Daphnia pulex: one gene and its partners. The protein of the gene in region 1 purifies or fractionates together with the protein of each later gene. This does not show direct contact. Links are inferred from orthologs where the notes say so. Each region holds a gene or a part of one and is shown in the gene's direction. Other genes may lie near its edges.

Region 1 (5,554 bases):
TCAAATTTTAAACAGAAGGAAGTTGCCGCGGCTGTGTTAAATATAGTAGGTCATGCGTACTAGCGTCTAGGACCAGGTTGGGTCTAGTGCCGCTACATTCGAATCCCCGAAGGTGATCGTCACGAATTCCTATGTGCTTGTTTGTCTGTTTGACCCTCAAGGCTTTCTTTCTTGTAATCCCCCAAAACTACGTTCGGGTAGTTGAGTCAGGTTGAGTAGTCGACTGCTTTAAAGTTGACATTCACAAGTGATAGCGTAGATAGAATAATGAGCACGGTAATTCAATTAAAATAAGTTTTATAAAAAGCTCTTGTATCAATTTTTCGTTTTTAGGTTGTACTATACTCATATTTTCGAAGTTCGTGTTCATGGAGAGTGCGTATAGGTAAAAAACGTAAATAAATATATCTTTAAGATTAATTTACATGAAAGTATTTATTTAGCTCTAGAATTTAAAGAAATTGAATATGAATACAAAGCTGTTCATTTAGTGAAGGGAGGTGGTCAGCAGGTACTAAATTTTAAAATTATTAAATCATCACAATGTTCACAGTTAAACCCATATAAATAGCTAAAATACCGCTGGCATATTTTTCTATGTATTTAGAATGCTGATGACTATAAAATCATAAACCCCATGGCTCAAGTTCCATCACTAACAATTGGGGACAAAGTTTTCACTCAGTCGGTAAGAGGGACACTATATGAATATGACACTATAGATATATAAGACCTTCCAGTTCAAATTTCAATGCATAATTTTTACTTCCATCTCCTGTACATTTAGGTAGCTATTTTGGAATATTTAGAAGAATCTTATCCTTTAAAACCCTTATTGCCAAAAGATGGTGTGATTAGATTCAAAGTGAGAGAAATATGTGAAATTATTGGTTCTGGGATTCAACCCTTACAGAATTTGGCTGTACTTAAACAATTTGAAGAATCTAAACAGAAAGATTGGGCTGCTAAGTGGATTTTCAAAGGACTCACTGGTAGGTGAAGATCTTCATGAATATATCAATAAAAAAATTAATAAACTCTAAGAAATATGTGCAAAGTTTATATAAAAACCCAATTTTTTATTACAGCATTAGAAAAAATATTAGAAACTTCCAGTGGAAATTACTGTGTTGGAGATGATGTTACAATGGCTGATTGTTGCCTTATCCCACAACTGTACAATGCAAGGAGGTAAAGACTAAAGTTTCCATGATTCGTTTCATGTTCTCTTTTTCTCACGCTTCGTCTGAATAAGGTTTGATGTGGACGTGGCACAGTTTCCTAATATTGCTCGTGTGGAAAAGAATCTCGAAGTTCTTGAGCCTTTCGTAAAGGCTCACCCGAGCCGACAACCAGATTGCCCGCCTGAACTTTCAGCATGAAAATAAAACAAAAAAATTGATGTGAAATAGTCGGACTTCAGTCCATAGAATAACGATATTAAACGATGATTATAATTTGGTCGATGGGTTGCGAATACGGGAGAATGAATTGCAATGGAACTTGTTATGCTGTTTGATATTTACTGAAAAATAAACAAAATTTGCCATTATCACTTATCAGATATTTGCAATATTTATGTCTTGAAACTATAGAATAAATAGAGTGTATTCCAGTATTCCTGTAAAACTGAAACCTGAAAAGTGCTAAATCCGGTTAAAATCTTTCAAAAAACCTGTTGAAAGCTGGTAAACAATCAATCTGGCAACGTCCGATTCGTCGTCTGTTCGGTTCGTACGAGTCGCGCTCGCGCAACTGCAATCTGCAAGAAGCATCACTTGCTCGTGTCAGTTCAATACTACAGTACCAAGTGTCAGTCATAGACTCATATCTGTTAAAACCTTATTTTATTTTTTTTACAAGTGCTCATTTAAAAAGTAATCTAAAATGGATTCGGGTGGATTCGGTAAACCACAAAAACCTCCTAAAGTTGCCAAGGTTGTAATACTTAAATGTAAGAATGCTCTTGACATTACTTATAACACATTTCTCTTTAGGTTAAAAACAAAACACCGGCAGAAATTCAAATCACTGCTGAGCAGTTGCTTCGGGAAGCTAAGGAACGTGATCTTGAAATTGTTCCACCAGTAAGTGTTTCGGCAATAGATAACAACTTGAAGAACTGAAGTAAGAAATTTTCTATTTTTAGCCCCCTAAACAAAAAATTTCAGATCCCGATGAGTTAGCAGACTACCAGTACAAGAAACGCAAAACCTTTGAAGATGCTCTGCGGCGTAATCGTAATGTTATTACCAACTGGATCAAGTATGCTCAATGGGAAGAAAGCCAAAAAGAAATTCAAAGAGCCAGAAGTGTTTTTGAGCGTGCTCTTGATGTAGACCATCGTAACATTACCCTTTGGCTGAAGGTAATTAATTTTCATTTGTTAAATCTGTGAAATAATAAATATCTAATTTTAAAAAAATTTAGTATTCAGAAATGGAAATGAAAAATAAGCAAGTCAATCATGCCAGAAACTTGTGGGACCGTGCAGTTACAATTTTGCCTAGAGCAAATCAGTTTTGGTATAAATATACCTACATGGAGGAAATGCTGGCCAATATAGCTGGTTGTCGTCAAGTATTTGAAAGGTGGATGGAATGGCAGCCAGATGAACAAGCTTGGCAAACATACATCAATTTTGAATTAAGGTAAATAAATGTAGTAAATACTAACGTTACACTTATCAACGTCCAATTTTTGTCCAATAACTAGGTATAAAGAATTAGATCGTGCTCGCTCAATTTTTGAACGGTTTGTCTATGTGCACCCGGAAGTAAAAAATTGGATCAAGTATGCCAAGTTTGAAGAAAGGAACGGTTACATTATCGGTGCCCGCCAGGTGTATGAACGGTCGGTGGATTTTTATGGTGATGATCACATGGACGAAAGGCTTTTCATAGCCTTTTCCAAGTTTGAAGAGGGCCAAAAAGAACATGAACGAGCAACTGCTATTTACAAATTTGCTCTCGAACACATGTCAAAAGATAAAGCAGCAGAATTGTACAAAGCCTACACAATTCACCAGAAAAAATTTGGAGAGCGTGACGCTATAGAAGACGTTATTGTCAGTAAAAGAAAATTTCAGTATGAACAAGAAATTAAAGAAAATCCATCAAATTATGATGCATGGTTTGATTATTTACGCCTAATGGAAAGTGAAGGTATTTTGACTTACTATCAAATTTTTAAGGAATTGTGTCGAATGTGTATTGTATCTTTAGGTGACGCTGACGTTGAAGTAGTGCGAGATACATACGAAAGAGCTATTGCCAACATCCCGCTAGTAGCTGAGAAGTCCTTTTGGCGTCGTTACATCTATCTGTGGATTAACTATGCACTTTTCGAAGAACTGGAAGCCGAAGATTATGAAAAAACTCGACAGGTCTACGATTCATGTCTTAAGCTCATTCCGCATCGTAACTTCACATTCGCCAAAATGTGGCTCCTTTACGCCCATTTCGAAGTTCGACAGAAAAATCTGCAATTGGCGCGTAAAATTTTAGGTACTGCGATTGGTAAATGTCCAAAGGTAAATATGTTTCAGTATTTTTTCTTTCAAATATGAAATCTAATTAGAGGCCAGTCTATGAACCAGTTTTTAATAAATCTGGTTATTTATAGAACAAGTTGTTCCGTGGATATATTGATTTGGAGATCCAGCTGAGAGAATTTGACCGCTGCAGGACATTGTATGAAAAGTTCCTCCAAAACGGTCCAGAAAATTGCACCACTTGGATGAAATTCGCCGAACTAGAAACTTTACTGGGAGATGTGGATCGTGCTCGCGGCATTTACGAGCTTGCCATCAAGCAGCCTCTACTAGATATGCCAGAAATTCTTTGGAAGGTAAATTAAACTTTAAATATGTGCACAGATCTCATTCCTAATGGAGTTGTGTTTGTTCTTCAGGCTTACATCGATTTTGAAATCGAACAAGAGGAGAATGATAAAGCCCGATCGTTATATGAGAGACTTCTAGAACGCACGCAGCACGTAAAAGTCTGGATGAGTTTTGCTCAATTTGAGCTCACTCTAGCAGCATCTCAGCAGGAGGACCCAAGTTTGCCAGTCGCAGCAGCTAGAGCAGTCTTCCAGCGTGCAAACAAGTTCGCATTTCTTTGCTTTGAACTATTAGCCTCCGTAAATTACCTTCTTAATTCCCCATTATGTTACTAGGTCGCTACGTTCTATAGCTCAGTCAGTCGGTCTTGAAGTGGCTACCAACAAAGAGGAGCGATTGATGTTGTTGGAGGCTTGGCAAGAATTCGAATATGAATATGGAGATGAGGGATCTCGCAATGCGGTTGTTAACTTGATGCCTAGACGTGTGAAGAAGAGGAGGCGGATCCAAACACAAGATGGGGTATGTGATAATATTTTGCGTTTAGATGCAAAATTTTGTGCGTTGCAATGTTTTTTTCTTTTCTTTTTTTTTTTAGACCGATGCTGGTTGGGAAGAGTATTTCGACTACATTTTCCCCGAGGATGAAGCTACTAAACCCAATCTTAAGCTCTTGGCTATGGCCAAAGCTTGGAAAATGGCAAAAGAATCCGCTCCATCAAACCAGGAAGAGGAACTACCCAAAAGCAATGCTCCATTGGCTGACACTGTGTTACCACCAGTGTCCTTGTCCACAGTCCCCGACGATCGCGATGATTCGAGTGAATCATCTAGTAGTGAATCTGAAAATAAGGATTAGCTACTACTGGAATAGAAAATACACTTTTTAAAAAATGATTTGAGTGTCATCGTACATATCAGTTTGAGGGTCTTATAAAATTAATTTTCCTTTTCAAATCGTTAACAATAAATTTGTTTCATTAAGTTAAAGCTATAGTAACACTAGTAACTGACACTACTACAGCTCTGCGTTGTGGTTACTACGGATAAAAATCATTTTCGAAAACCCTACCATATAGAATTCTATAGATAATACCATGGTGTATTAGTACTAATACACCATAAGAATACTATATACTATAGAGTATTCTATAGCTCTGACCCTACTGATAGTAAATCGTTTAACTTTTCAGAAAAATAATTGAATTCCAATTTTAGGGAATCAGTTATCAATAGCAGTCTAGTTTCTTTATCCACGTCTCCACCAGAGCCTCCACTTTTTCCGGGATTCCGGCATTTCCGCTTTTTCGAATTTTTTATCCGCACTTCAATTATTACTATTTGGCAACAGCTTTGGGGTTCGGAAAAGGCGGCAAATTTTTCTCTTTCTTCTGCTAGACTAGACTAGAAGAAGCAAGTGCAGCAAGAAGAAGACACAGAACTTGATCCAATCATTGCCTCATTGATCGTGTTTATTGTTTTGTCTTCAGAAGATTTTCTAGTTTACGAACGTGGCCAGTGCACCTAAAGTCCCCTCAAAAAAGAAGCTGTTGGTAGATGGCTATATTTTCGTTTAATTGTGAAAATGGTGTACCAAAACACTGGAAAGTATAGGGCAGATAAGAGCAGCAAAGAGAAAAGTGCAGGGTAATAGTAACTACATATATTTTTAAAATATAATAAAGTAATATAAATTTTATGTTTTAGTGG
Region 2 (5,426 bases), on another chromosome or scaffold:
TTTATGCGTCGGAGGAAACCGGATTCAATTGAAGTTCAGCAAATGAAGGCTCAGGCTAAAGAAGAGAAACTCAGGTAAATTTGACCTTGACAAGTTTTGTCTTATTCATTGTTGAGTTCTTATTGTGGTTACTTTACCGTTTTTCAGACGACAGAGTGAAAGAAATAAGCTTGCACGAGAGAAGCAACTACGCGAAACAGCTGAACGTGAAAAAGCAGCCCTAGAACAACAGTTAATTCACTTTCAGGAAGAATTCCGTGTAGCGAACGAACAGTTGGTATGATATTCTTCAGTTTAATTTTTAGTTTTAGTATCAAGTACAGTATTTCATTATACCAATTTTGTAGAGGCGTTCCGAAGAGTCGGCTGAGCTGCTGGCCGAAAAGGCGCGAGTTGCAGAAGAAGAGTCAATGTTGTTAACTCAAAAAGCCTCAGACGCTGAACAAGAGTTGCAAAGAATTCGTTTATCTGCCATGAAAGTAAGTGAATTTTTTCATAACTTATTTAGGTAGCTTTACATTTAATTGTCTTTTTGCGTCTAGACCGAAGAGGAAAAACTTTTGTCTCAGAGACAATTACATGAGGCGAAGCAAATTGCCTCAAGGTTATTAGAGAATTCTGAGCGTTGTGCAGCAGAAGCAGAGCAGCTAAAAGGTGACCTTTTGCAGGCCCGTTACGCTGAAACTCAAGCCAAAAAGAAGCTACTAGAGTTTTTAACAACACAAGCTAGTGTTGCAGCCTTACACTCGGCATCTCGTCCAATTACACGCATCCCGTCGTCCGCGTCTGTCCTGGTACTTTGCAGTTTCTGTCAACATTTTAATGAGCGAATAACTACAATTACCATTTTTCAGTCTGTTCCCAACTTGTTTCCGACATCAAGTTCGTCGGTAGCTGGATCAGACCACCATTTACATCATCAGTCGGACATTCAGCAACATTTACGACGACTCGACGATGTCTCTAACGAAGCAAGTTTGCCGGCTTATGAGGCCCGCCTTCCTATTCCGCTGGCTAATCAGCTTACTGGCCTCACCAACTTAACTGGCTTAAGTAGTAGTGGATATCTATCAGCTATTGCTGCTTCCGAACTGGTCAACTCTTCATCCAACTATGACCTTATGACACATGGCGATATGGAGCAACTCTCACTTGAAATTGAGAAAGAGAGGTTGTAAATCTATCGTAGGAATTGTTGCGTAATTGTTTGCTCATTTTTTAAAATAAATTTAGAGTCGAATACTTGGAAAAATCGAAGCAACTGCAGGAGCAACTGAGAGAATTGCGTACAGAGATTGAAGTCTTGAAAGTAGGTGAAAAACAAACGCTTTACGATCAGCTACACGAAGAGCAACTCCGTTCAGGGGACGACAAATACTCAACTCTCAAAAAGGTACGCATGAATGAGAGTCATTAATTCAAATTTGAGTTAATTTTTCTTTTTTTCCTAGTCAAAATCTGGATCGACTGGAGCGCGCGTGGCCTTTTTCGAAGAGCTGTAGCTTAAGTCATATTTTTAATTTTACTTTTGACAATGTGTTGTACATAAATTTTAAATTGGCTGACCATTTTCATGGATGCAACTTAGTTTATAATCTTTAATTCACTAAGTTGCCCATTTTCGTGAAATCTTATCATCATAGACATTAGACAAATAGACTTTCATTTAAAAAAAACTTAACTCTTGTTGACTAATGAGTAATGTCTTTTACTAGTAGCAGCATCGGCGTTGTTTACATTCTTATATGAATTTTGCAAAATGAACCTGTATGTCTAGAATACCAATTCAATATGAACATGGAAAAGTTTCATTCAAATTCAAACACAAAATGCAGAGAACCGAGAAAGATTAGATAATTCTTCATTTCAATCTGTGAAACGCAAAAGTTAACAAATTCATTTCGAAAAAATGTAAATATTTTTTGCGCGCAATGTTGCCAGTTCATCTATTAATTTTGATTTTTCTTTTACAGCATTCTTGCAACGTTGTCTTAACAACGAAAGCATTCGTTTTTTCGTCGGCTCGTCAATTTCCACATTCGTCGCCATCCCAATTGTTGTGCTGTCAATTTGTAAATGATTTAATAAGTGGCAAAATATCCTATATCATCATGGATGAATTAGAGAAACTCGAACACCTGTCGCTTGTTTCTAAGGTGTGCACAGAATTGGAAAACCATTTGGGACTCAACGATAAAGATCTGGCAGAGTTCATCATCGCATTGGCCGAAAAACACAAGACCTTTGATGAGTTCAAAAGTGTAATGCTGGAGAATGGCGCCGAGTTTTCAGACTCTCTCATTGCAAATTTGCTTCGTCTTATCAAACACATGAAATCAGCCAACTCGAAAACAACTGATGTGAACTTAGCCCAGGTAAAGAAAACAGTTTACAATGCAGAAACAGAGAAGAAACGGGAACTCTTCCCTGGTCTTGCCTTAGCAGATAACCCTAAGGCAAGAACAATGCTTCTCGAAGACATAAAATTGACTATTAAAGATGTTGAAGAAGCTAACGATTTAATGGCTGAACTAGAAGCCATGGCTCCTAAAGAAGAAAAGATTTCTACTGAAGCAATCGAGCCTGTTCAGGAAAGAGCAAGGAGTAAAGACAAGAAGGAAAGAAGCAGACGTTCAAGAAGCAAGGACCGCAGCAGAAGATCAAGAAGCAGAGACCGCAGCAAGAGATCCAGAAGCAGAGACCGAAGTAGAAGGTCAAGAAGCAGAGATCAAAAGAGGAGATCAAGAAGCAGGGACAGAAGTCACAGGTCCAGGAGTACAGATAGAGGAGATCGAAACAGAACAAGTGATCGTCATCATGATAAAAGAAGTAACGAAGGCAGACGAGAATCCCCAAGTCGAAAGAAACCTCAAAAAGATTTTCCAGAGAATCCAGAAGTGGGAAATGTCTACGCGGGAAAAATCATGAATCTTGCAGCTTTTGGTTGTTTTGTACAAATTGAAGGAATACGGAAAAAATGTGAGGGTCTAGTGCACATCTCCCAGTTGCGACGAGAAGGCCGTGTGAATAGTGTGGCTGAAGTTGTCAATCGTGGAGATAAGGTTCATGTCAAAGTTATGAGCATTGCTGGCCAAAAGATCTCTCTTTCTATGAAAGATGTGGACCAAGACACTGGCGAAGATTTGAACCCAGCTCCTTCGACGTCAAGCCGCCCTGGACTAACCAGCCAGGAAAGTGAAACAGCTTTAAGGAATCCAGATCGACCTCTCTCATTGCTAGATTTGAAGGCAAATGTAGAGGAGGATGAACTAACCAACCGCAAGCGTGTGCAACGGATTTCGTCTCCTGAACGCTGGGAACTGAAGCAAATGATGGCAGCAAATTGTATCGACAAAATGGACTTGCCCGAATTCGACGAAGAAACGGGTTTACTGCCAAAGCTGGCCGAAGACGAAGAAGATATCGAAATCGAGTTGGTGGAAGAAGAGGCACCCTTTCTTCGAGGTCACGGTCGAGTGCTTAATGAACTTAGTCCGGTTCGTATCGTCAAGAATCCCGACGGTTCTCTAGCTCAAGCCGCCATGATGCAAGGCGCTCTCAGCAAAGAACGCCGCGAACAGAAAATGTTGCTCAGAGAAGAACAAGAAGCAGCTGACGCACCGGCTCAAGGCGCCAACAAGACCTGGATTGATCCCATGCCGGATGCTGGGGCTGCACCGTCAACGTCGTTGGGTCGCGGAACGGGAGCCCCTGTATACGACATGCCCGAATGGAAAAAGCACATCACTGGTGGACCGAAAGGAGCCTCTTTCGGCAAGAAAACTAGTTTGTCCATCGTCGAGCAACGTCAATCACTTCCCATCTACAAACTCAGAGATGAACTGATCAAAGCTGTCAATGACAACCAAATCCTAATTGTCATCGGTGAGACGGGCTCGGGAAAAACTACGCAAATCACTCAATATCTATCCGAGTCCGGATTCACGGCTCGTGGAAAGATCGGCTGTACGCAGCCTCGTCGTGTGGCCGCCATGTCCGTTGCCAAGCGAGTTTCGGAAGAGTTTGGTTGTCGTCTAGGACAGGAAGTTGGATACACGATTCGTTTTGAAGATTGCACCAGTCCTGAAACTTTGATCAAGTACATGACGGATGGTATGTTGCTGCGTGAATGCTTGATTGATCCCGATCTGCAATCGTATTCCTGCATCATGTTGGACGAAGCCCACGAAAGAACTATTCACACAGACGTTCTTTTCGGTCTTCTCAAGCAAGCCGTCCAGAAGCGAGCCGAACTCAAACTCATCGTAACGTCGGCCACTTTGGATGCCGTGAAATTCTCGCAGTACTTTTTCGAGGCGCCCATCTTCACCATTCCGGGTCGAACTTTTCCCGTCGAGATATTGTATACTCGGGAACCTGAGACGGATTACTTGGATGCCTCGCTCATTACCGTCATGCAGATCCACCTTAACGAACCACCGGGCGACATTCTTCTTTTCTTGACTGGTCAGGAAGAGATCGATACTGCCTGCGAAATTCTATACGAGCGCATGAAGTCCATGGGCCCTGACGTTCCTGAGCTCATCATTCTTCCCGTCTATTCCGCTCTACCGTCTGAAATGCAAACTCGAATTTTCGAACCGGCTCCACCAGGCTCCCGAAAAGTTGTTATCGCCACCAACATCGCCGAGACCAGTCTTACCATCGACGGTATCTACTATGTCGTCGATCCTGGTTTTGTCAAGCAGAAAGTCTACAATTCCAAGACCGGAATGGACTCTTTGGTGGTGACACCCATTTCACAGGCGCAAGCCAAGCAGCGAGCTGGTCGCGCCGGTCGTACTGGACCTGGAAAGACTTACCGCTTGTACACGGAGCGAGCTTATCGTGATGAAATGCTTGCCACGCCTGTTCCCGAGATCCAGCGTACTAATCTCGCTTCCACTGTCCTGCAACTCAAAGCTATGGGCATCAATGACCTGCTCAACTTCGACTTCATGGACGCTCCTCCTGTGGAGTCACTTATCATGGCACTTGAACAGCTGCATTCCCTTTCCGCTCTAGACGACGAAGGATTACTCACGCGTCTTGGTCGACGTATGGCCGAATTTCCTCTGGAGCCTTCTCTCTCCAAGATGCTCATCATGTCTGTTCACTTGGTATGATATTATCAACAATTGTTCCTGATCGATGTAATTGACGTTTTAAAAATTTTTGTTTTAGATGTGTTCGGACGAAATTTTGACAGTCGTGTCCATGTTGTCAGTTCAGAACGTCTTCTACCGACCCAAAGATAAGCAACAGTTGGCTGATCAGAAGAAAGCCAAATTCAATCAAGCCGAAGGAGATCACATCACTTTATTGGCCGTTTACAATTCCTGGAAGAACAACAAGTTTAGCAGTGCCTGGTGTTACGAGAATTTCGTTCAGATGCGTACCTTAAAACGAGCTCAGGATGTTCGTAA
Region 3 (4,702 bases), on another chromosome or scaffold:
TTGGGTAGTTTTGTTAAAACCAGCTTCAACGACTACTTCTGCGTCGTGATTAAACATGTCTAAATATGGAGCTAAGGCCATGTTATTTTCCATTCCATCCACCTTGTTCAATCCATGTGAGTGTTGTTTAGAATCTTGATAAAAGACTGCTCTTGTGTTGACACAAAACCAAGCCCACTGGAAAAGTTCGAGTGAGAGGGTTGAGCCGTATATCTTTCTCCATATTGCAAAGATTTTTTCATATTTTTTTAAGACAAAGTTTTGATTACACATTATTTTCTCTTGAAGAAAGCTGGGCAGGACAGCTATTTCTTGGCTTTTACACAATCCACCAACTGAGAAGCTCTTTGGTAATGTTGAAATGTATGAAGAGTACAGTCCATTAAACTTGGAGTTCAAAATGAAGAAAGTTAGACATTCTGCTGTAGTCATACTGAACTGTAGTAAGTCAGGAATCTCTGCCAAAACTTTTTCTTTAGTGATAAGAAGACTTTGGGGGATCTGGACTAGCAGATGGTTAGGAGCTATGTTAGACATAGCCATGAGACCTCGTCCAGTGCTATTAAACAGAGCTGGCTTTGTAACTAAACAATTTTTTGACACAGCATTCCAACCATTCGCACTCATCCATTTACAAAGTTCAACGAATTCTGAATGTGAATCAATCCGAAGTGGGCGAGAATGCACAATTCGAACCAACCTGTTTCGGATTCTAGATGTTCGTCCCATGTTTTTTTATAATGGAAATATATTTAATTTAACACCACAACTTTATACCACATTCATATTCTCACAGTTTTTCAATAAACTCACGGCGGTTTTCTTTTCGAATAGAGATGAAACAATTGGTTAAAATGAAATTTACGGCTGCTTACACTTGACTTCAAATCTTACTGAGTTTACACTTTACACATTTTGTTTACATCAGAGTGATCAGACGACTATGAGTTGACAGTGACAGGAATAGGGACGGGTGGGTTGAATCCGAAGTGGCTAGTCCGCTTTCATATGTATGGTTTGAGATGTAGCCCTTTACGCACCAGGAAGTGCTTGATTTCTAGTACATCTTTTGGATCCTAGGGCAAAATGCACGCCACTAGAGGCGCTATGCCCACGAAGTGAACGAACTAATGCTTGTCGCTTGACAGCTCTTTTTATACTAAATGCTATCCAGCACTCCCTAATGCATTAAAAAGGACGTTGCCTTCCCCCAAGCCTAGAGAGTAGAGACGTAGCAGTAGATACGTCTAAATAATTTTTTTACTTGACATAAATCATTTTCTATGATAGCCTAGCCTTAAGCCCTTAACTTTCCAAATTAATTAAAAAGAAAACCGTTATTCGTACGCAGGTACACTATCCCTTAACGGAAGTGTGAAAAAACAGGTTCGGTTTTAATTGAATAACTGAAACGCTATTCATCACAAAGAGAAAGATTTGAAAATAAATGCGGAACTTGCATTTGAGACAACCAGACGTCAACGAAAAAGAAGTGCGCGTTATTAAGATCTACCTCTAAAATTTATGCGATCTCTTTTGTCGTTAAAGAAAATCGGCCCAAATATTATATATTTTGAGATAAAATCCGCGGGTTAATGTCAATGGATTTATTAGATCCAATTCCTTGTTGTAGTTATTATATACCAGAGAGATGTATATTTTTCCTATATCACTGGCAAAACCAACAGTCAGATTCACGTCGATGTCCGTTAAATTTTTCTTAAATTTTTGGTTTAGTGCTTTAGTCTCAATTTTAAAAAAATTCCGCGATCCTCCCATCAGATACCTTAAAGTAGCAGCGAAGAAGCAACAAGTTTACTAGTTTTGGAGTAGCCTTTTTATTTTGCGTTTATTTGAATTTATTTTGATTCAAATAAAATAATCTGATGGGCTATTTGAATTTGGAAAAATCTCCAAAAAGTCGCTAAAAAGCGGAACAGCCACTTTGGTTCTAGCTCTACTGATCGTATAACGAAGCGAAACATGCTGTCTGCAGTCTCTGCACTCTGACGAACGTGTTTGACTGTTTGCCCACGCCAGTTTTCAGTTTGATTAGTCTGCAACCTGTGAATCGGTATTTTATTATTGTCCTCACTGTGCATAATAATAAGGAAGGTTTAGACAGTGATATTTATATATTACTCATTAGCTTATGGGGATGCTTTGAACATTGAGAATTTCAATACTTTACGTAAAGTTTTTGAACACGTAACCTCGATTCTTGATAATCTTTCTTGTGGTGCATTCAAATTTGTGCCGCAACATGTCATCTAACAATGCCAAGCGAAACATCTATGTCGGTAAGATCAAATAACATATTTCAGTCTTACGAAATGTAATGCTTACTGTGATTCATTTTAACAGGTGGCCTTCCTGATGAGGCAGATGAATCAGTAGTGCGTGCAGCCTTTATTCCTTTCGGAGAAATTGTTAATATAGAAATACCTCCAGATTATGAAAATCATGAAAAACATAGAGGTTTCTCTTTTATTGAGTATGAACTAGCTGAAGATGCTGCTGCCGCAATTGATAACATGGTATTCTCACAATTTCTTACAGTTTATCTAGTAAACAAATATTTAATTACTTGCCATCATGGATGCCTTTCTTTCAGAATGATTCTGAGTTGTTTGGCAAAACAATTACTGTAAACATTGCAAGACCTCGGAAAATTAAGGAAGGATATTCTAGACCAGTTTGGTCAGAGGATTCTTGGTTGCAAAAATATGCTGGAAAGACAGAAGAAAATAAAAATCCAGTGGAGGAAAACAATAAGGAATCAACTGAAGGGAAAGACAATGTTTCTGAATCTGAAACTAAGTCAGCAGTTTCTAAAAAGCCTCGCGGCAACCCTCAAGTGTACATGGATCTTAAAGCTGGAAAAATCAATTTGGGCAGAATAATTATTTTATTGAGAGCTGATGTCGCCCCTAAAACATCTGAAAATTTTCTTGCTCTCTGCACTCATGAAAAAGGTTATGGATTCATGAATTCCAGTTTTCATCGTATTATTCCAGGATTTGTAAGCGGAAAGCTCAGTTTTAATCAATATTTATTTTTATTAACGTTCTTTTGCAAAAGATGTGTCAAGGTGGTGATTTTACTAACGGTGATGGAACCGGTGGTCGATCAATTTTCGGTGGAAACGGGAAATTCGAAGACGAAAATTTTACGTTGAAGCACAACGGTCCTGGTATTCTGTCTATGGCGAATTCAGGCCCAAATTCAAATGGATCCCAATTTTTTCTAACCCTTGACAAAGCAGAATGGTAGGTTTTTTCCCTGTTAAAATATCATAGTTATAATGCTAATAGCACCTTTATGTTTTCAAAGGTTGGATAACAAGCACGTCGTATTTGGTCAACTTCTTGCCGGCCTAGATGTTTTACGTAAAGTGGAGAAGTACGGAACAAAGTCTGGTAAACCGACTGACAAAGTCATTATGTCCGCCTGTGGAGAACTATTGTAACACATGAATAAAAGAAGCTTTTTTTTAACTACATTGTTTAATGACCAATGTCTTGTGCTCATGAAAAATATAAACAAACAAATTGATTGGACTACAGTATATTCCAACCCTCTTCCCTCCCGGAAAAAAACAAAAAAACAAAAGAAAAACATTAACGTCATGGGTCCTTTAATTTTCGTTGAGATTTTCATATTGATTGATCCAGCTATGAATCAAATCTTGGATGTAATTGTCTTGCAGGTCTTTGGGTATCCGCGGTCCCGGATAATTCAATTCTTTATTTAATGCGCCTGTTAGTTCATCTAAACAAGTAAAATAATTGGTATGTTTACAGGAAATTCCCAAGTTTGACATTTTTTAGACACTGTAAGGTATTTGAATGAAAAAAGATATTTACTAATATTCATATTAGGCCACAAATCTTGCTTCTGATTCATAATGGGAATTTCATTGGATATACGGCCAAAAGGTTCCTCCCCAACCATTGCCGCCCGACCAGACTTCGAAAGATATATATATTTTTTTTTAAGTTTAGAAATAATTATCTGATTTTTTACGTCTACTGTGGACTACACACCTCCGTGGAAATATCCTTGCGCCTACCCAAACGAGGAACCGCCTTTGATGCCTTCAGAAAAAAATTAGAGAGACTTCCTTCGTGAGGAAAAGATTCTGAATTCATGTATTCAGCGATGATTCCTTCACCTCGTCGGCCGATTCGAGGAATCTTTTGTCGAAACCTATTATAATTCGGATTAAACGGTTCCGGGCTGGGATCTGATAAGGCAGACGCCAGCAGTAGCCACGTTAAAAACAGTCCTTGATTTAACAAAACGACATTAGTTGGTTCACTTTGTACTGTAAAGCAAGAATTAAATTCAAATATAAAAACCTTTTATCATTATTAGCTCTCGATACATGATCACTGTAACAGGAATAAGTTGATCTCTGTCCAACTGCGACAACTGAGCGTGACAACTGAACGCAAAACTACCATCTAACCGTGTTATAAAGGATTTTCCCCATTTCCATTTTTTAATTTTACATCATGCGGATGACATACGGGTTTTGACATATGGGGACACAGTATTGCTATTGCCCCCATCTTTCCGTATTATTTGTTTCAGTGAGGTTGATGTCGTCAATAACGCAGCAGGACTTCACTGTATAATATACATAATAAAAATTACCATCACCAGCAGCATTGTCTGATACGGGTCGGTTCGACGACAA

What was found.
Region 2: the proteins of crooked neck-like protein 1 (region 1) and ATP-dependent RNA helicase DHX8-like purify together in Homo sapiens (affinity purification with mass spectrometry; 3 studies listed by BioGRID and IntAct, counting the BioPlex papers as one, with this or other methods). This does not show direct contact. The link is inferred for Daphnia pulex from reciprocal best matches to the Homo sapiens genes CRNKL1 and DHX8.
Region 3: the proteins of crooked neck-like protein 1 (region 1) and peptidyl-prolyl cis-trans isomerase E-like purify together in Homo sapiens (affinity purification with mass spectrometry; 3 studies listed by BioGRID and IntAct, counting the BioPlex papers as one, with this or other methods). This does not show direct contact. The link is inferred for Daphnia pulex from reciprocal best matches to the Homo sapiens genes CRNKL1 and PPIE.

Annotation. Positions count from the first base shown.
Region 1 is NC_060026.1:11,198,304-11,203,857, reverse strand, and holds crooked neck-like protein 1, read left to right. Parts: upstream 1-1,796; 5' UTR 1,797-1,887; coding exon 1,888-1,938; exon of another isoform or gene 1,939-1,941; intron 1,942-1,997; coding exon 1,998-2,087; intron 2,088-2,149; coding exon 2,150-2,368; intron 2,369-2,430; coding exon 2,431-2,651; intron 2,652-2,715; coding exon 2,716-3,164; intron 3,165-3,224; coding exon 3,225-3,532; intron 3,533-3,624; coding exon 3,625-3,849; intron 3,850-3,912; coding exon 3,913-4,109; intron 4,110-4,179; coding exon 4,180-4,366; intron 4,367-4,442; coding exon 4,443-4,703; 3' UTR 4,704-4,741; downstream 4,742-5,554. Other genes in the region: probable maleylacetoacetate isomerase 2, read left to right, coding at 268-276, 334-385, 444-511, 608-688, 788-992, 1,089-1,191, 1,256-1,382; DNA polymerase epsilon catalytic subunit A-like, read left to right, coding at 5,430-5,491, 5,552-5,554. UniProt on the Homo sapiens protein: Involved in pre-mRNA splicing process. As a component of the minor spliceosome, involved in the splicing of U12-type introns in pre-mRNAs.
Region 2 is NC_060022.1:2,535,620-2,541,045, reverse strand, and holds the start of ATP-dependent RNA helicase DHX8-like, read left to right. Parts: upstream 1-1,979; 5' UTR 1,980-2,111; coding exon 2,112-5,120; intron 5,121-5,184; coding exon 5,185-5,426. Other genes in the region: merlin-like, read left to right, coding at 1-74, 148-277, 348-479, 543-794, 855-1,171, 1,234-1,393, 1,452-1,502.
Region 3 is NC_060020.1:8,628,975-8,633,676, forward strand, and holds peptidyl-prolyl cis-trans isomerase E-like, read left to right. Parts: upstream 1-1,964; 5' UTR 1,965-2,263; coding exon 2,264-2,300; intron 2,301-2,364; coding exon 2,365-2,537; intron 2,538-2,614; coding exon 2,615-3,022; intron 3,023-3,081; coding exon 3,082-3,269; intron 3,270-3,333; coding exon 3,334-3,469; 3' UTR 3,470-3,555; downstream 3,556-4,702. Other genes in the region: uncharacterized protein LOC124191929, read right to left, coding at 3,638-3,771, 3,867-3,969, 4,047-4,288, 4,362-4,389. UniProt on the Homo sapiens protein: Involved in pre-mRNA splicing as component of the spliceosome. Combines RNA-binding and PPIase activities.